Arabidopsis thaliana: one gene and its partners. The protein of the gene in region 3 interacts with the protein of the main gene of each other region in a pairwise test. Each region holds a gene or a part of one and is shown on either strand. Other genes may lie near its edges. The genes, in order: LAX3, PUT2, CRK10 and ANT1.

What was found.
Region 1: the proteins of CRK10 (region 3) and LAX3 interact in a protein complementation assay, tested with the Arabidopsis thaliana proteins (one large-scale study listed by BioGRID).
Region 2: the proteins of CRK10 (region 3) and PUT2 interact in a protein complementation assay, tested with the Arabidopsis thaliana proteins (one large-scale study listed by BioGRID).
Region 4: the proteins of CRK10 (region 3) and ANT1 interact in a protein complementation assay, tested with the Arabidopsis thaliana proteins (one large-scale study listed by BioGRID).

What each region holds. Positions count from the first base shown.
Region 1 is NC_003070.9:29,199,880-29,205,197, forward strand, and holds LAX3 (uncharacterized protein), read right to left. Parts: upstream 3,540-5,318; 5' UTR 3,439-3,539; coding exon 3,268-3,438; intron 3,186-3,267; coding exon 3,000-3,185; intron 2,897-2,999; coding exon 2,784-2,896; intron 2,701-2,783; coding exon 2,517-2,700; intron 2,417-2,516; coding exon 2,319-2,416; intron 2,230-2,318; coding exon 1,764-2,229; intron 1,548-1,763; coding exon 1,353-1,547; 3' UTR 538-1,352; downstream 1-537. Other genes in the region: AT1G77700 (Pathogenesis-related thaumatin superfamily protein), read left to right, coding at 4,868-4,943, 5,269-5,318. UniProt on the Arabidopsis thaliana protein: Carrier protein involved in proton-driven auxin influx.
Region 2 is NC_003070.9:11,418,068-11,422,729, forward strand, and holds PUT2 (Amino acid permease family protein), read right to left. Parts: upstream 2,895-4,662; 5' UTR 2,617-2,894; intron 2,357-2,616; 5' UTR 2,296-2,356; coding exon 808-2,295; 3' UTR 522-807; downstream 1-521. Other genes in the region: PUT1 (Amino acid permease family protein), read right to left, coding at 1-72. UniProt on the Arabidopsis thaliana protein: Probable cell membrane polyamine/proton symporter involved in the polyamine uptake in cells.
Region 3 is NC_003075.7:12,136,413-12,141,449, reverse strand, and holds CRK10 (cysteine-rich RLK (RECEPTOR-like protein kinase) 10), read right to left. Parts: upstream 3,456-5,037; 5' UTR 3,280-3,455; coding exon 2,445-3,279; intron 2,325-2,444; coding exon 2,187-2,324; intron 2,104-2,186; coding exon 1,985-2,103; intron 1,892-1,984; coding exon 1,681-1,891; intron 1,589-1,680; coding exon 1,351-1,588; coding exon of another isoform or gene 1,350-1,350; exon of another isoform or gene 1,219-1,349; intron 1,215-1,218; coding exon 1,064-1,214; coding exon of another isoform or gene 1,004-1,063; exon of another isoform or gene 988-1,003; coding exon 670-987; 3' UTR 528-669; downstream 1-527. Other genes in the region: CRK11 (cysteine-rich RLK (RECEPTOR-like protein kinase) 11), read left to right, coding at 1-253.
Region 4 is NC_003074.8:3,756,412-3,761,262, reverse strand, and holds ANT1 (aromatic and neutral transporter 1), read right to left. Parts: upstream 2,812-4,851; 5' UTR 2,741-2,811; coding exon 2,495-2,740; intron 2,395-2,494; coding exon 1,747-2,394; intron 1,565-1,746; coding exon 1,160-1,564; 3' UTR 1,106-1,159; exon of another isoform or gene 885-1,105; intron 862-884; 3' UTR 512-861; downstream 1-511. Other genes in the region: AT3G11890 (Sterile alpha motif (SAM) domain-containing protein), read right to left, coding at 3,654-4,851. UniProt on the Arabidopsis thaliana protein: Translocates aromatic and neutral amino acids such as tyrosine, tryptophan, phenylalanine, histidine, proline, leucine, valine, glutamine, as well as arginine. Transports the auxins indole-3-acetic acid (IAA) and 2,4-dichlorophenoxyacetic acid (2,4-D).

The DNA of each region.
Region 1 (5,318 bases), on a different chromosome or scaffold from region 3:
GTCTAGTTGTTCCGGCAATAAATGAAATATTTTTATGAGTTTAAATGCTTTTTTAAAAACTGATTTTCATTTTTTTTGGATTTTGACCCCCAAAAAGGTTTCATTTTCGATAGTACCTAATAATAATATGAAGTTGTTAGTCAAATGTAACCATCTCGCAAACTCAACCCAAATGTCAGTTTTCGGGTAGACATGGTACTATGATAGTGAGTTTGTTCCAACTTAATTATTACGAGCTATATCGATATATCGCTTATGTTGTTGTTGTTGTCTACCTTGTTCCTTAATTACGTCATATGAAAACTAGTTCAAATCATGAACTAACAAGAGCAGTGTATTAAGTACTAGTTTCATTTAAATGATCTTTTAGAGTTTTCTATGACTATTGCATCTTTAAGTTTTTTTTCTAATATATGTTTACTTCTCTGATTGTTTTTATTCAATGATGATATCGCGATGAATTACTATTTCATCTTTATTTTTGTTTTGTTTGTGATACATCTATCAAAATTTGTAACCAATTTTGGTTTTATTTAAAAATGATCTAACTAAACGAATAATCATATGTGATTGATCAGTTATTTGACTTTACCAAGCACCAACCATTGAATCAATTGGTGTAAAAAGTCTGCCTAATTATGTACTAACAACACTGACACAGAGCCTGCCATTGCCTTTTGCTTCTTTTATAAAGATACGCCTTTCATTTCCCTTTTTGTGATGTGATGCTAATTTGCCCATGATGGATTCAGATCGGGATCACTCACATTCAGAAGAAAAAAAGTTAATTTAGATCAATATTTGATTGCTTCAAAGATAATCTAATGTATTCTAAAATAAAACTCTCATAATCTTACCCACATAAATTTATTTTACTATAGAGTATAGATGCACGAGGTTGTATGATTTTAAATCATGTATTTCCATATCATTTCATTTGGACTGATCGCAGAATTTATAGTCAATTTTCATCAAAAACTCAGTGCACTTCAAATGACGATGAAATTAAATCTCAGTAAAAGAGAATAACGAGATCATTAAACACAAAACACACATGAAACTTTCTTGAGCTATAGAAGAACACTAAATAATAATAGGGTTGGCCTAAGATAGCCATCACACCTTAACTAAGGAACAAAAAAAACCCAATTTACCAAAAATAACTCAACATAACAAATTAAACAAACCCGAGGTAAAAGATTATTGTCGTCAAACAATTACAAAGAGATGTGATTTTTAATAAATACTAAAAAAAAATTGGATGTAGTAACTTATATATATTAGATCTCGAAATCAAAACCCCCTTATATGAAACTCTCTTTCTAGAAGGTCTTGAATGGCAAATTTGTATATCATGGCTTGTGAGGAGGGCATTGGTAGCATTTGGTAAAGAGACCAAAAGTGTCGATCTGGCGAACAAAGTTGACCATACTTGCCCATCCTCCAAACCCGAACCCAACTACGAATACCCAAACCACCACAAATATGTTTATGCAGTAAGTCCCCATCCATCCTCCTACCACTCTCGGTGGCCTCTCCACCGCATTCTATTTACGATATATCAAACTTAACAAAAATTAGATATACCAAAATATTATTTTAGCTATTTTTACATAATCTATGATACTATATAATAATTTTAATATAAACTAATAATATACTATTTCCAATTATTCTTTGTAAACTTATACTAAAATTGTAACAAGCTTTTTATGAAACAATTATAATTTTAAAATAGATATTTTGGAAGTTGGAAATCTAACCTCTCTTGAAGGAGCAGGAGCAAAGGTAAGCATATGAGCCAATGCGGGGATGATGTAGACAGTGAAGCTAACTAAGAGAGATCCGACCGCGGAATTGATTGGTCCGAAAAAGGGGAAGATAATGGCTAAGAACCATATGGGTACAACCACGGGTAATCTAGCCATGGCTCTTTTGAACATGCTCTTCGTCTCATGCACACCTATCAATTTCTCCCACACAAAATATAACGGTGTAGACGCGAATCCGAACGTTATAAATTGATGAATGAGCATGAGGATCACTGCGGTATCTCTAAAACCAGTCTTAGGGAGAAGAGAGAGCGCATTGGAATGAGTTAGTAGCTTATCGCCAAACGCCCAATAAACCGCAGACGCGGATGGTAGCGTTAGCGTTAGTACATATATGGTCGCTAGTAGATATATCGCCTTGAACTTTTGCGGTTTCCACATAGCGTGCATTATCTCCCTATTATATTTTTTCAAATTTCCAATACATAATTAGTTAAGCCATTAATTAAGCCATTTTATTTTTCCAAACAAAAAAAAAATACTTACACTGTGACGGCGTGGCCACCAAAGGTGTAGAGAATGTTGGTGGCTCCGGTGAAGTAAAGCACCATTGTGGTTGGACCAGAGTGTTTCACATCCTCAGCCTTTTTTATATGAAAAATAAATATATTAAACAACAATAACCAGGACTATATGTCTATATCTTATAATAATCAAAACAAGATTTGTGTTAATTATAATGACCTGGCCATGAAGGAGTGAAGCAATGGTGAGATACCAAGAAGTGTAAGTGGTCATAGCGAGTCCGAGGAATGACCAAATTCTATAATTGTGGAAGGAAGGAATAAAAACAGTTGTTGCACAGCACGCCCCAAATATGTATGTCCATGTCCTCTTGTCCAATTTGTCATTAATATAATATATATTGCTGCAAATCATTTTTTATATTAATTAATTTTCAATATGAAAAAACCATATAATAAAGAAAATGAACATTGATTATTAATTTACCTAGCACAAGCAATGAGCTGAATAACAGATCCAAAGAGAAGAAAAGTGCAGTTAAAGATCAATCCAAGGTTCCTCCAATGTTTCCCCAACAATCCATCTAACACCTCAAACCACTTTTTTACACAAACAAAAAAAAACAAAAAGTTAAAATTCAATAATACCACCAAAAAAATAAAAAATTATAACGAGTCACAAGAATTAGAGGTGGAATAAAACCTGAATAACGTGGTTACGGAAATCGAATTTTTCTCGTTCTTTACGAGTTCGATATTCAACGTAAAGAACACTAATGAGATAAGCAGTCCAACTTCCCATTAATCCATAAAAGAGTTGAAACAAAATTCCCGACATCATCCCAAGTTGTGAGAACGAGTATGGTAATGTCAACAGAACTTGTGCCACCTGCCATTTTTATAACAATTTAGCTATAGAAGACGATACATACACATCTATATATAAGACTAAATCTGTGGGAAGTACATACCTGATTTGAAGCACAACTAAACCAAGCATCGTAGACAGAACCACCATGCCAGAAGAAATTAGAGAGTTTTGTTTTAGTTGAAGATTTCTTGTTACCACTTATGTTTTCTTCTTCCCTCTCCATTTCTAAGTAATTCCCTGCGACCACTGTCTCTATTTTCTCTGCCGCCATTTTTCTCTTCTTCTCTCAGTTTCTTTAGCTTCTTTACTTCCACTCTTTAAATAGACTAGTGAAAAGCTTTTTCATTTATTTATTTGTTTTATGGGTTTTGTTTCCTTTCTTTTGCTCTGTGTGCAATTATTGAGTAACGAGTGTCGGGGGACGAAGTCTTTAGTCACAGCTCACGAGTTGTCATGGGGATATCGGTTTATGATTGGTTGGTGACTGAGTTATGTCACCTACTTGTGACTGTTACTGTTTTCGGCGAGCGTGGCGTTGTTTTTTTAATGGGCTTGATTTGATTGTTGGGCTTATGGGCCATATTTCTGGAGCATTACACGAACGGGTAGGCCCGGTTTGAGATTGTTAATTATATATTGACCCCGATAATATGCAAAAAAAGAGGGTTAGCTAATTATAGATTTTAAAGTTTAAAGTAGTGAGAGTAGACTAATTGTAAATTGAAAATAGAAGTGATGACAATGATGTTTTTTTTTTTTGAAAGAAAGGCTAAACTATTATTATCATTAACAATTATTTGAATCATGATGATTGTAACAACTAGAAACAATGAATAAAACATATTGGTCCTTTCCTCCTTCTTGTGATGAGGATGATAACGATCTTTATGTAGAATAATCAATTATATTTCTAAGTTTTTATGTTTTGTCCGATTATATTACATAGCTGTTACCTGGAACTCGAAATTACATAAATTTATGCCTTTGTCTACCATATGGCATCGCACATCCAAACGCTTGATTTAGAAGTAGAAAAACTTGGTTAAAAGAGAGGAAGAAATAGTGATTTGTGAGGTAATCGAGGATTGGAGATGGATCCAATGGAAAGAATGATTGCTAATCAGGTGGGATTAGTGGTAAACATAATTACCACACGTGTCTAGCTGTCTAAGCTTTATTTAACTCACTAATTTCTTAGAAATGTCTCCTTTTTAGCCCCATACTTTTACAATGGATCGAATTATTAATGAGAAGGTATCATCATTTTAGATCTTTATAGCTTTTTAACCCGGCCAAAATGGATGGCAGCGGAAAGAAGACTCATCGCCAATTGACATTAAAATATGCATTTTCAAATGTTTTTTTTTTTTTTTTTTTTTTTGTGATTCAACCTTATTTAGGCTATTGAGATATCTCCAAAAGATATAATATTGTCGTCCCTAAATAGAGCAGATATTCAGATATCATTGGTAATAATACTGAAAAAATGGCGAGTCATTGTAGTTAAATAATTTGACATCTTGAAACCAGGAACTCGATTCTACTGGATGGTTACAGATGGTTCCCATAACGACAAAGATTGTGAGATTTGTTTTGATTTTCATCAATTTATCTTCGTCAGAAAATCTGTTTAACCAAAAAAAGGATCATGACTATACAAATTTATTAATGGTGTAATATTCAAAAAGCAGAATATAAGAATGGACCGAACAATTGAGATTGAGTTCGACATAAATGGGCCATATGATTCATTAATTAGGCCTAATATATCAGTAGGTAGATGAATTGACCCATGACATGAAGGCTAAAATAATCAATATCAACAAGATTATCCAAATTCAATAATAGAAGATACAAATAGACAGATAAAAAGCCACATACAGTATAGATCCTTGGCCATTTGGACTTTGATTACCTTAACAGCATCCCAAAGAATACTTGCATGAAACATCAGGAAACGAATAACACTAACTAACTCTTTCCCATATTCCAAAACAAGGAACCTTAATTATTTGAAAACACATATAGTACTACAACCGATTATTATAATTGTACCGATAGACTCTCCATGCAAGTTATTCTTTCTTCCTCCCTTAAAAAGCCAGTCTCACTTCAAGATCAGAAAATAACATTACATTTGATCCTAAAATA
Region 2 (4,662 bases), on a different chromosome or scaffold from region 3:
TCCACCAACATCGCCATCATCATCATCGTAAAGATTACCATAAGCAAATTCATTCATGTTATAGTCTCCCATGGTAATGAACTAATGATACTTCCCTTCTGAATCAACACAAAGAAACAAAGAAAAAAAAACAATCAGATAAATTCTTGGATCCTTATACGAAAGTCTAAACATTTACGAGAGGTAAAGAAGTACAAACCGTGAGAGAATCTAGGGTTGTCTGAAGATTGAGCGATGCTTTAAGAAGAAAACAAAACTCACCCATATCGTTGTACTTGTCATATCCTGGAAAGGATTGAAGAAATTGTGGTTCTCTGTTTTGAGAGTGTCCATATCAATGACAAGTCCTAAATATTTAATAAATTATGCAGATGGAGACGATGGTGATAGAACCTCCGATCAATTGAGACTATAGCGATTTTGTTTGCGTGTCAAACACTGATACTGCTTTTTGGGGTTTTGTGAGGGTTTTTTCTCTCTTTCCAATCATTGGTGATGAAAACTTATCCAAAGATCCAAGCTTTGCAACTGTTGACCAGACTTTGATCGAAGGTTTTGTTCAAAGACTTCAAATTTCCAAAGCCATGTTTCAAATCGACAATGGCAACGACAAAAACATAACAGAGATACAAACATTGCACATTTTATTGGAACCGTGCTAACGATGACCTAACTTTACGAAAAAACTACAACTTTAGAACAAGCTGTGAATAAAACAGAGTACAGACTATGAGAAATTAAGCTTTTTTGGCTATAGCTTCCAAGCTCTGTACTTAACATAGACGAGGGAAATAACTAAGGACATTCTTAACGTATTAGAGTTTCTTCGTATTCCCGAGTCTGCTGTTGAAGGTCCGGTAAGTCAGAACTGATGGAGAATTTGACCCATCTCTTTCGATCCATATGGTTCAGTAAAGGATGTATCAGGAAACCAATGATCATCATCACAATGCTCACTGCAGCTACTTTAAGAGACGAGAGTGCTACAACAGCACAGATCAGTATGGTTGGAGGAATACACATGAGGATCGAACCTGTGGTTCCAATAGGTATCTTGTACGGTCTTGATGCAGCAGGGTGTTTCATTCTCATTCTAACAAACGCTATAAACTCTAAGATCATACCAACGCAGTAGAGTAAGTTCTCTGCAGCTACAATCTCTTGAAAGCTTAGCCAAGACAAGAGAACAACACCTGACGCTGAAAACAGAATCCCTAGTAAAGGTGTCCCGTAACGTGACCTTTTGGCAAAGAACTCGGGAAGCATACCGCGCTCAGCCATTCCGAGAAGCTGAAAAGAGTCACTACTCATCTCGGCTATAAACATTCCCATGTTTGATGTAGCTGCAGCCGCTTGAACCCACCATCTCAACCACGCTCCACCAAGAGCTTTGGCCACATCAGAAAAATACCCATCTGTCCATTTCTCACGCTCTAGCGGGATTGCCCCGATTCCAGCCAAAAGAGGGAAGATGTAAGAACAAGCAACTAAGATCACACCATAAAACAAAGCCTTTGGAAGTGTATGGTTGGGGTTTTCAACTTCACCAGCTAGTGTACTAATCGAGTCCCAATAGTTTAGATTCCAGAAAAGCGTGTTAAGATACAAATTCCAGTTCACATTCCCTAAGTCCATCACAAGCCATCTCGAAGGCTCTAGCTGCGGAATCGAAATCAAACCCATCACAGCAAACGGAAGGATGGAGAAAACTCCCATAAGCACAGCAACCCAACCAACTATAGTTAGTCCCCTGTAGTTCAGATACGTCAACAAAATAGTCAGCACCAAGATCGATGCAACTCTCGGTAAACCGCTACCTAAAGCCGGGACTCCAGACTTCAAATAGTCAAGAAACAGAACAGGATACAAAGCGTTATCAATAACACCACTAAGCCATTTCATCCAACCTTGCTGAAACCCCCAAAAAGGTCCCAAAGCAGAGGAAACCCACACAACATAACCACCATTCTCGGGATACATTGTTCCCATCTCCGCAGTAATCAAAGCCTCAGGGATACTCCAAATGAAAGGAAAGATCACAAACCCTAGAAGAGCTAATAATGGTCCTGCTGCATTCACACTATCCTCTACACCAAAAGGACCTCCTGAGACTTCATAGAATATGAGGAAAACAAGTGGCAACATGGAAACTTTCCGAATCTTATCGGTAGCTTTAGGCGGTGATGATGGAACCTCATCAGCACCGACACTTGAGTAAGGAACTTCATTATTCTCGTACTGACTCATCTCAATAGACGCGGAGGGGTTCACAGTGATGATTCTCCGCTTCTGCATAACGTCATCCAGATTTTAAACGGATTAGAACTCTCCCACATCCCAATAAGGTTTTCGTTATCTGCAACAATCCTTATAAATTACTCAAATTTGCTACAGATTCTGAATTTTGAATTTAGGGTTCGTTGTAATTGGGAAAGCAAAAAAGGACAGTTTTTTATTACTTTTCTCAGATGGGTATCTTCAATATGCATTAACAAAATCCAAAAGAACGAAAAAGGAGCTTAGACTAAAAGATCTCAGAACTAGATCACTCAAAAGTCAAAATTAGTGAACGATGACAAAAGAATAAATCTTTACGAGAGGTGAAGAAGCACGAACCGTGAGAGAATCGAGGGTCGTGTCTTGAGATCTCCGTCGTTCGTTAAGTTGATGAATAATGAAAGCTTTTGGAACGATCCAGAGATACTTGAAGAAGAAAACAAAACAAAGCCCTTTTTGTCGAATAAACCCAGATTTCAAAAGAATGAATTACAATTATTTATATATTGGAAAAACAGATATATTTGGCCTCGTGTCATCGAGTGGCTTTTTAAAAAGATTCTTGCTTCTCGGAAGAAATGTTTTTACAATGTGTGAGAGATCATGGAAGATGGAATCTGGATCTCAAATTTGCGTATGTGCTTTTTATACTACAAAAATCTAATTGAGAGTCTTAATTAGTTTACTAAATTGCTATAAATTGAGGAAGAAAGCTCTTCACTAATGCTTTTTTTTTTAGAAAATAACCAAATACACATGATTTAGAAACTTCAAACCAAAATGAAAATGTACATAATATATGAAATATAGTATGAGATTTTTTTTTTTTTTAACCCAACAAAAGATATGGAATTCATATACCACTATTAAACTTTGAATGGTTACCTAGTGTATTGCGGATCGGATTAAAGTTAGATCAATCCACACTTAATTCATGATTCGCAATTGCGGACCAATATGTAAGATTGGGGATTTAAAAATTTCATACTAGTAGGCACTTGTATATAATAACTATTTGGTTTGTTTTTTGCATTCACTCTCCAAAATCATTGTACCCCATCATAAACTTGACACCAATGTACCATTCTATGTTGTAGTGCAGACTATTGTCTATTGTTTGTTCTATACTATAGTCAAACATTTTACTTACCAAAATAATATACGCAACTACGCATGGTCTAATTTGCATCATATGAACCAACCTTTCAAAGCCTATATTATATATACTGTATTTTGAAAAATAATTACCCAAATGATAATTGAACAAGCCAAAAAAAAAGTAATTCAGGCAAAAAAAATTAGAATTTTGGTTGTTGAATTCATGGGTCCCTTGTTTAAATTGGACAAGGACAACAATACATGATTAAATTTAGGCACGTGTTCAAAAACTAAATTATATACGGATCGGTGTTTGTGGGTAGTGGCTAGCCTTTAATTGGGTTTGTACCACGATACACATGTAGCAATTGCCGTATGTCGTGATAATACGGTACAACTATTTCTTACCAATCAAACAAGAGAAAACTTCAAATATCTTCCTTTTGTGTAGCCTCAAATTAAAGAAATCTTATCACCAACAAATTCTCTTCTTTATATACATACGGCAGGCTTTTTTTGGTAAAGAGTTTTGGATTTTCACAACTGGAAAAAATAATCTTTTAATCTGTACACAAAGTATTGTGGCTTTTGTTCCAACTAATTCTCTTTAGCTTTTCGCCAATTTAAAGTGGTGTTATTCAATTATAGAGTTAAAGTCAATTCTTTAAACTTTAGATTTGTTTTCTGATATTGCTTTTAAAAATATGTTTGTATGAATTTTAAAATCTCTGCAATATGTCCAAGAATTTTACAAAGAGATTTCATTTCAAATGAATTAATATACAAAAATTTTACCAGTATTTTAGTTTTGAATAACACTGGATTTTAATGAAATATTTAAAATCTTAATTGAATAACACTAAACTTTAAAATCTATTAAGCATAATTTACAAAAATGAGTTCTAATAACACTAAATTTTAAAACTGGATTTAAAATCATTAGTTAAATAACAGTGGATTAGTGTTGGATTTCAATTCTATTAAAATCCATTAACTAATAACACCCCCTAAAGCTACAAATCAATACCAAATATCCTTAATAAAACACTAGTCGTCTCTCTATACTCTCTCGAACAAAGTCTCAACCGGTTTGGGTTGGCTTTTCTTTATAATAATTAACCACTTTATTTTTTTTGTGGGCACAAGAGAATTAACCATTTAACATTGATTATACTGTTTTTAAACTGACATTTTATAAATTAAGATTTGGAATTAGTTCACTATTCTGGAGTGGTGAAAAAACCTCAACCGGTTTCAAATGTAATTAACCGTTGTTCACATTTCTCA
Region 3 (5,037 bases):
TCCAACTTTTGGAAGGAATTATCAGAGTAATGAAGTCACTAGGTGCATCCATATCGCGCTGTTATGTGTTCAAGAAAATCCAGAAGACCGTCCAATGTTATCAACAATCATCTTAATGCTGACTAGTAACACAATTACTCTACCAGTGCCTCGCCTACCGGGATTTTTCCCACGAAGCAGGCAACTGAAACTGGTATCTGAAGGATCAGAGTCTGATCAGTATACAAGCAAGTCTTCCTCATTTAGTTCGTAAAAATTGATGTGGTTCCTCATCATAGCTTAAAAGTTGTAACAGAAAAATGGTCAGATGACATTTATATTATTTGTCCACGGACATAAGAAACATAGCAGGTTTATCTGTAATTGTATGTTGTACAGTGTCCACTGTAAAATGCTTATGAACAGTTCACAGTTCTTTAAGAATCGTTTCTCGATTACTGGTTTTACTCTCTTCATGCTGAATCAAATTACCTGCTAGATCGTTGTGTAAGCTTAATTTGGAGGGAAAAGTCACTGTTACGTCTTCATGGAGAAACGTGTAAATGGTATATATCTTATACTTGCTTGTGGTTACAATTACAATACAAACATTCTATAACAAAAGAAGTTTTTAACTTATTTTCAACACCAATAGATTCAGGAATCAGGTATGAAGGGAAAAACTCATCATCATCGAGGATGTATATCTGTGATGGATGCATCGTCAACAGACCCTAGAAGAGATTTGCTCGTTGTATCTGTATCAAGCGGGTCTTTTCCAATTCTACTCTGAAAGAAAAGACCGGGTTGCCGTGGCACGGGTAAAGTCACAGTGTTACTAGTGAGCATCAGAACAATGGTTGACAACGTCGGACGCTCAGCAGGATCTTCTTGAACACATAAAAGACCGATATGGACACATCGAACAACTTCATTCCTTTGGCAATTTTCTACAATAGCTGGATCCACGAGTTCTAATGGTCGCCCGTTACTCCAAAGCCCCCAAGCCTAGAATATTATTCAATCAATCAACACTTGCAACTATGTTCAGGTAAATATGGAACTTGATAGGTTTAAAACTTACATATGAGACCAAGTCATGTGCACCATCTGTTTGGTAGAAGCTGCTATTCTTCTTGCCACTTATAATCTCAAGAACTAACACTCCGAAGCTATAGACATCAGATTTCATTGAGTACTGACCATGCATTGCATACTCGGGAGACATGTAACCACTGTAACCCACAACAAAAACTATGTTAACCAAAGGATGTTCAGAAAACTTCAACTTATAAACCCACAACAAAAACTATGTTAACAAAAGAATGTTCAGAAAACTTCAACTTATGAGAAGTTATGAGGAAGACTTACTAGGTACCAACTATTCTGCTTGTGTTCTCTTCGGTTTGGTCCAATCCAAAGATCCTAGCCATTCCAAAATCTGCAATTTTAGGATTCATATCCGCGTCCAAGAGAATGTTACTGGCTTTGAGGTCACGGTGTATGATTGTGAGTCGTGAGTCTTGATGAAGATACAGAATCCCTCGAGCAACTCCACCGATAATCTTGTATCGTCGAGTCCAATCCAGCTGGCCTTTCTTTGCAGGGTCTGTCCACATCCATAAATCACAATGAGATCTCTAAACATTCGTAACCCCAAGTATCAAGAATCATTGAAACAAAGCATTAAATGCAACTAACCAAAGAGGAAGTAATCAAGACTTTTGTTGGGCACATACTCGTAGACCAGTACTCTTTCTTCTCCGTCTAGACAAAACCCAAGAAGTCTAACCAGATTTCTATGTTGTAGCTTTGCAACAAGAACAACCTCGTTCTTGAACTCTACTTCACCTTGTCCTGATGACTTTGATAGTCGCTTCACCGCAACTTCAGTCCCATCCGATAAAGTACCCTGTTGTTTTCATCAGCATCATCCCATTATCCAAAAGTGTTGGCTTAAAATTTCAAGAAAAAAAAAACACAGCTCAAGGGAACTATAATTTACCTTGTAAACCTCACCAAATCCACCTTGACCAATCTTATTACTCTCTACAAAATCATCTGTTGCAGTTTGAATTGTTCTATAATCAAGCTGTAGTGAGTCTGCTGTTGTGATATCATCTCCTGTTACACAATGAAAGTCTTTGAAGCAGGAAAAACAAGCTGAGCATTGACATTAAAGATCGTTTATCACTTGAAATCTTTACCAGCAAATGCAGATGGTGTGTAATAACTCTTCCTTGCCCTTCTTGTAAGGAAACAATAACCAGCTATAAAAAGCAGAACAGCCACTATAATAGGCACAACAATGGCTATCACTAACACCTTTGAATTCCCATCTTTTCCTGCATTTCAAAGATTATTTGCTTAAAAATCAGATAGAAGAAAACTCTCTATATTGGTTTTGCCAATTTCAAGAAATCAGGGCAAAAAAAAAAAACAGAGGAAAAAAACAGAGCTCTGACCAGATCGCGGAGGAGCTGAAACTGGAGGAGTAGAAATTGACGGTGGTGGTGGTGGTGGTGGAACGGCGGATTCGGTGTAAAACGCGTAGATCTCGTATCTTGAAGTACAGCTCGGATTAATAATTCTTGCACCAATTCTGTCAGTAGGTATTTGATTGATGACCAGTTGGAGACAACGCGAACAGTCTTGTCTCGTGAGATCAGGTGTGCACTGAACCAGTCCATAGAAACTCTGCAACGCAGTAAAATTGTTTTTTCTCGTACCGAATTTTTTGGAACTGTTCAAGGCTACGGTGGCGGCTTGGTTCAGAGTAGGCAAAACCAAATCACTTAACAGGTCTAGTTGGTTAGATGTCACATTCCGGGTGTTAACCAAGATAACTCCACCGGTGGTTATTAGTGTCGAGAGAATATTCTGGTTAGAGTATCTAAGTACACACTCATCGTAATAAAGTGTGGCTTCTTTCTGGTTAGGACACCGAGTTAAGGTGTCGTTGACGGCAAAGGAGACGCATCTACGGCAAACTTCCGTTGAGACATCTCCACGGCAGTTGAAAAGTCCGGTGACTCTGTCTGGAGCTTGGCCGACGGTGGCGTTTTGGAATCCGGTGGAGTAGGAAGCGTTGCGGGAAGAAAGAGAAGCCAAAAGGGTCTTGAGATTGTTGTTGTAAGTGCTGTTACTTGTGTAATTTGCCGTATTTTGACAGGTGTGGTATACGTAAGTGGGATCTTGAGCAGAAACTCTGAAACTCGTGAGAAAGGAGAAGAGGAAAAGGAAGAAGAAAGAGGAGTAATAAGACATAATTGGGCTTTCTTGATCTGTGTTTCTTCTCATCAAGCTTTGAGTGATATATGAAACAAATTTGATTGTTTGTTCTCTCTCAGTGACTACCGTAGATAACGTTTTGTGCTGACGAAAAGTCAAGGTCAAGGTCAACGCGTCTCGTATTAAATTGTCGGGTCTTGTCCAACTTCTTGTGTTTAGCTACTAATCCATTACTTATTTTTTTAATATATGAAATATAGAAAAAAATTACGGAAAATATAAAATCATTTTAAAATGAAGAAAATTATCAAAACTGTCAAAATTTAAAACATAATAACTCTAAATTCAAGCTTTGAACTCTAAAGTCTTTTTTTTTTTTGATCAAAAAAAAGGTAGTTGGGATTTTCAAGAGAAAATAAATGTAGCAGTTGGCATGATTTCAAAGATCTTAATTACTAGTAATAGAATTTAGATATACATGAGAGAAACTAGCTAGCAGTAGAATTTGTTTCGTACTTTTCCTTGAACAGAATTGTTGAAATTAGGAATCTTTGTTGACTATTCTTCAAAGAATCATTCTGGGGCTGAAAAAATTGTCGCCACTGATGCGAAGAAATTATTGGTTGATAATAGGTTTTTGTTTTAAGCACGATAATTTATTAATTTGTATATCGTATATGCTAGTATGGTTATTGTGATGTAGTGATACTAAAATAGTATTACCAAATCATCTGCCTATCGTTATCTGATATTGTTAGTTACTAATTATTCTATTACTTTTTATAGTCTTACTCGCGAGAAGTTAAATAACTTGATATTCCACATGACGTCGTTCCATATAATGGTTCCATCATAAGTCCTTTCGTGTTTTCACCCGGATATGAATCTACAGCATATAAGTTTTAATATTTAAAGTTAATATCGGAATATATAAACATGAATTTGCTATATGAATGTGAAATATTTTGACATCATCCGAATACAATGTGTTTTAAAACGAATTTTGCATCCATAAGCTCCATCTAGCTAGTTGCAAAGGTGAGAAATATTTCCTTTTTGGTTCTCAGCTTCTCATGACTATTCCAAAACGAGAAAAAAGGCAATCAAAATTTTTAAAGGCATTCACATATACATAAGGAAAGAGAAAATAAAACCGAGAAGTATTTTATGTTTGATGTATCTCCGATCCTAGTAAAGGCCCAAGATATTGATGCAAGGTATATGAGACCTAGCTCAGCCGTGATTTCTCCGTGAAGAAGACTCAGCTTTGTTAATAATTGAATGAGGCGGTGTATGATGCCAAAACCCTAGTTCGTTCTATTTGATTTTAATGATATTATTCAAAACCCTAGTTTTTAAAAAGTAACTAATTTTTTTTCGTTACTGCCAAGGAAAAACAATCGGCTTTTCATGCAACAAATCTCGTTAAAATTGGTTATGGGCCTGCATGTGAAAATGGAGCCAGAACCAGAAGAGGACTTGGTCAATGCATCGAGAACATTTGCGTAATATTCTTTTTTTTTTCTTTTTTAGTAGTTTTTAATCATCAGCGTAATCTAAGACTCCGACCAAGTCTTACACAAAACAAAAAGAAGAGAAGCTGAGAAATCTGACAAGGAATTAGAAAATGAAAAAGAAAGTTTTTTTCCATTAGTAATAACAGAGGAAAAACTTATGCTTCTGTTGGTTCTCCCTTGCATCTCGCTTTCCTTAGCTCATTTTTACTGTTACGGTGTTACGCACAACTAGAATAATCACTTGGAACACTCAGAATGTTGCAGCGGGCCAGTTCAACGATCAGACGAAGTAAACATCAAGATAGCAAGA
Region 4 (4,851 bases), on a different chromosome or scaffold from region 3:
AACTCTTAACTCTAAATTATTTTTTGTTTCAAGCTAGTTAGGTGATTTTAGTGCATAAGAAATTAGTTACCTGAGTAACAGAAAAATTGAATTAAAAATTAAGTTTAATTAAATTGAAAAATTACCAATTTCATACTTAAGTTAAAAATTAAAGAAAAGTAAAAACAAAATCTGGAAAATTGAATTAGGAAGACTAAAAAAGAAAATCGGTGTGTTAATTGTTTAAGAGACTGCATCCTGACACCATTAAATGATCATACAACAAATCTCAACTTTCTCACCATCTTTCTATTTCAGATTCATGTAAAAGATCCACGCATAATGACTGGGAGTCAAAAAGTATATTCCGGCGAGCTCCGGCGAGCTCCGGCGAGACGCATAATGAGGTTTCGATGGTGAGGATCAATATTAAAAAAGTTGGTAATGCATCGCCTTTTCTTTTCTTTTCTTTTTTTTTTTTTCTTTTTTTTTTTTTCTTTTGGCATGGGATCGTTACTTCCTTTTTTTCCATCTCTGAAGTGAAATTTTATTGATAATAAACAGATCATATATGGTTGGCGAAAAACAAAAAAGAAACAGATCATATATGGGCCAACAAGTTAAACGAAAACTAAGAAAAGCCCAAGAGAAGTCCATCGTTTGCGCCTTAAAACGATTAAATACGGAAATTAAAAAGATTTTAAAAAAAAACTACACGCGTGTATGAACTGAATCAAAACACGCACACCTTAAGCGCGTTTAGCGCGTGAGACAAAAATCCGTGGACTATATAACCCTCCGATTTGTTTTTTTTTTGCATAAATGAAAACATAAGAGGACCAACAGCGCGTGGGTCGAGTTTTCATTAGTGGTTTTAGTTACCTGAGTAACAGAAAAATTGATTAGGATTACCAATTTCATACTTAAGTTTAAAAATTAAAGAAAAATAAAAACAAAATCTGGAAAATTGAATTAGGAAGACTAAAAAAGAAAATCGGTGTGTTAATTGTTTAAGACTCTGCATCCTGACACCATTAAATGATCATACAACAATCTCAACTTTCTCACCATCTTTCTATTTCAGATTCATGTAAAAGATCTATACATTTTTTCTTGTCTGTCTTACCAAACTTCTTGTAGTTATATTCGTTGCTTTACACAGATCACATGCTATCCCTTTTCACACTCCGACGATTGTGTTGTACGTACCATAAACAGCAAAGATCAACCCGCAAATCACAATGAATACGTCGATGGATTTGTTCCATACATTTAGTGATGGACCGAGCAGCGTGAGGTGATAAGAAGCCGGCAACACAAAGGAGATGAGTGCGCACAAAGTACTTCCAACAAGAGATGCAAATGTACCAAACCCTGGGACTAAACTCGCGATTGCTGCAAGTCCTACCACCAAAAGTGTCCTCGTTGTAAAGATTGCAAATTTTGAGACTGAACCTGTTTCGTTGCTGTACCCATTATGATGCTTTTGAAGCCAGTCTATCCTCTTCAGTTTCTGCTCTATGATCTCGTTAAGCGGATGTACCATGATCGGAAATGTAAACGTCAATCCCACACATAACCCAATCTGTTTAAACCAAAAACAACAGAAAAAGTGTTGAATTCAAATGATTAACAAGTTTCCACACAAATCTATTGAAAATGGTTATCATAAGCAAGAACAGAGCATATGAATCTATAATCATAATGAAATGCGAGAAACATAAGTTCCCAGAAGAAGTAAAAACATTAGAATTGGCATAATTTTACCTGAACAGCAATGGCAGACCAATTATTTGGGAGGTTAAGAGTGATGATATCCTTTGTTTGATCACCATAAGCCATATAACCACAAAACCCGAACAACACATAGACAAACGTAATCCCGGCAAGCACTTTAGCTAACAATTTAGGGAAAGCTTCTCTTTCCCTCATAGAACTCTCCAAAGCCAACGTCATTGCAAAACCCTCAAAACAGAACACCGCAACTCCTCCAGCAAAAGGTAAACCACCAATGGTAGACGAAATAGCAGTTCTATCACTAAACGAGAAGTCTCCTTCAATCACCATTTCCACATTTTCTTTGACAACAAAACACATTGCTATGATGTTGCATATATCAGCAAAGATACTGAAAGGCGAGAGAGCTGATAAAGAAGTGATCCACGACAATCCAACTTCGATTGGAACCAGAATCAATATGAAAGAAACCATACTTAACCCATACGAACTAAATATGGATGACAAGTTTCGACCTATGAACACTAAATACGCTACTGATCCACCACATTGAGCAGTGAAAATGAGGAATTCGGTTAAGTATCGACCTTTTGTTCCCATACATTTGAAACCTAAATCACCATAAGTTTTCGATTCTTCTTCTCCTTCTTCCGATTCTAGCTTATCTCTGCACTGAATCTGCATATTAAAACAATCCAATTAGATTACGTTGTTGAAGTCGATTGGAGAAGTCAATAAATTATACTCAATTTAAGGATTTGGAAAAAGGTATACTAACGAGGAGGAGCATGCAGTAATAGGTGGCGAATCCGACGATAATGACACCGAGAGATCCGGCTAACCAACCGGCGATGCGGAATGCGTAAGGAAGACCAAGGACGCCTGTACCGACGATGGAGACGATAATGTTACCGAGCGTTTGAAGAGCAGAGGTTCTGTCACCGCCGGTTGTTTCAGACGGCGGAGATTTTATTAAAGGAAGAGATGAATCACCGGTCGTCGCCGTCAGGTCTTTGATCGCCATCGCCTCCTCTTATTTCTTTTTTTAATTATTTTGTTTGTTTCGATTTCACGATTGAAACATCGGAGACGTACGAAACTTTGCGGCCGCCATTTTTATAGGTAAACAATGAAACCCCGCCAAAGATTCCTCAATGTGACGTGGCACCTCAAGGTACCTCACATCTGGCTCGTGCCTACCACGCTCTACGTCCATTGGTCTGTGTGCAAATGGATGGCCCAGATAAGATTTGTTTCTTTTACTAATTCAATATTTCTGACATAATAGTTGTTGTTGATGGGATAAATAATGCTAATTGGAACTATATATAGGGTACATCGTGATCGTGTCTGCGACAACTCAAATAAAATGTTTTTTTTTTTTCTTTCTCGAAACTCAAATAATATGTTTCATTTTTTATGAAGGTTTAACTCAACTAGCATGTTTTAGTCGTGATACTTTACAAAATACGCTTTTTTTAATTCTTACATTCAAATAATTACTTTCAAGTTAGGGGAATCAAGTTTTGAATGATTCCACTCAAATTGAAAGATTTATGTTGAAATTGAAGAATTAGGGTTCTAGTGTTTCTACTATAAATTTTATGTTTAGTCATTGCATACGTTTCCAATTAGCAAAACTATAATGATTAACCTGAATTTTGGACTTTTTGTTTCTGGTTCTAGATCCTTTAGTGATTGAAAAAAAGAAGAAGAAGCAATATAATGATATTGCATGTGCAACGCTAATAGACGACTGATCCCCAAATAGTCAAATACAAAATAGCACGATGCAATGATCACATCAAACAGTGGATTGTTGCTCTGTTTTACATATATGGTCCAAAGAGTATCAATAACCAAAACAATACTAGTTGAACATCAATAAAGCGTAAGCTAAGTTTTATTGGCCTCAACTAAACTCTAACAGATAGTTCTCAGTTAAAGGAAGCACGTAGACAATGTGGGTGATAGACACAACCTATTGCATGTATAAGCTTTCTTCTTGGCCCAACGGCTAAAGCACCCATCTGCTTAAGCTTCTCCATTGTCAAATTCGCCATCTGAAACTTACTCATCCTCTGTCCTCTCAACATCCTCTCAAACTCTCTCCCTAATCCTATAGATCCAACCCATTCGTTCAACCCTCCCGCTTTCTCAACCTTCTTCTCCAGATTCAACACTCTCAGCTTCTCATTATCCATAACAACAGAGCTACACATCACTCTTGGAAACCTTATGGGCTTGTGACCCGCACGCCTCCTGTGGATCTCCACTCTTCTATCCTGATTCTTCCTACTTTCTTGCAGTGATCTCTTTGGTGCTGGAGCTTTCCTGGTTGTGAGACTGCGACTCATAACTATCTCCGGTTTGTCTACTGAGGTGAAATCAGGACAGGCCTCAGGTTCCACAGTTTGAACACGACTAGTTTCAGCTTGCGATTGAGAAGTTGCAGGCTTCTGCAAAGTGCAATGTTCAGTTACAGAAAGGGAAGGCATCGCTGTGTGAACATGGGTAGCTTTGTGTGTCAACGTTCTTACCTCAGCTTGTGATTGAGAAGTTGAAGGCTTGAGTAGACTGTAATGTTCAGGTACAGGAAGAGAAGGTATCGCTGCTGCGTGAACAAGAGTAGCTTTGCGCGTCTTCGCTCTTAACTCAGCTTGTGATTGAGAAGTTGAAGGCTTCTGTAGACTGTAATGTTCAGGTACAGGAAGAGAAGGCATCGCTGCTGCGTGAACAAGAGTAGCTTTGCGCGTATTCGCTCTTAACTCAGCTTGTGATTGAGAAGTTGCAGGCTTCTGCAAAGTACATAGTTCAGGTACAGGAAGAGAAGGCAGTATTGTGTGAAGAAGAGTAGTTTCGTGTGTATCCGCTTGTGATTGAGAAGTTGCGGGCTTCTGCAAAACGAAGTGTTGAGGTAATGGAAGAGAAGAAATCTCTGTTTGAAGAGGAGTAGTTCCATGAGTATCCGCAATAGACTCTCTTAACTCAACTTGTGACTGGGAAGATGTAGGCTTCTGCAAAGTGGAATGTTCAGTTACCGGAAGAGAATGCACCACTGTGTGAAGAGGAGTAGTTTTATGCGTATTCGCAATACAATCTCTGAACTGAACTTGCGAATGAGAAGTTTCAGGC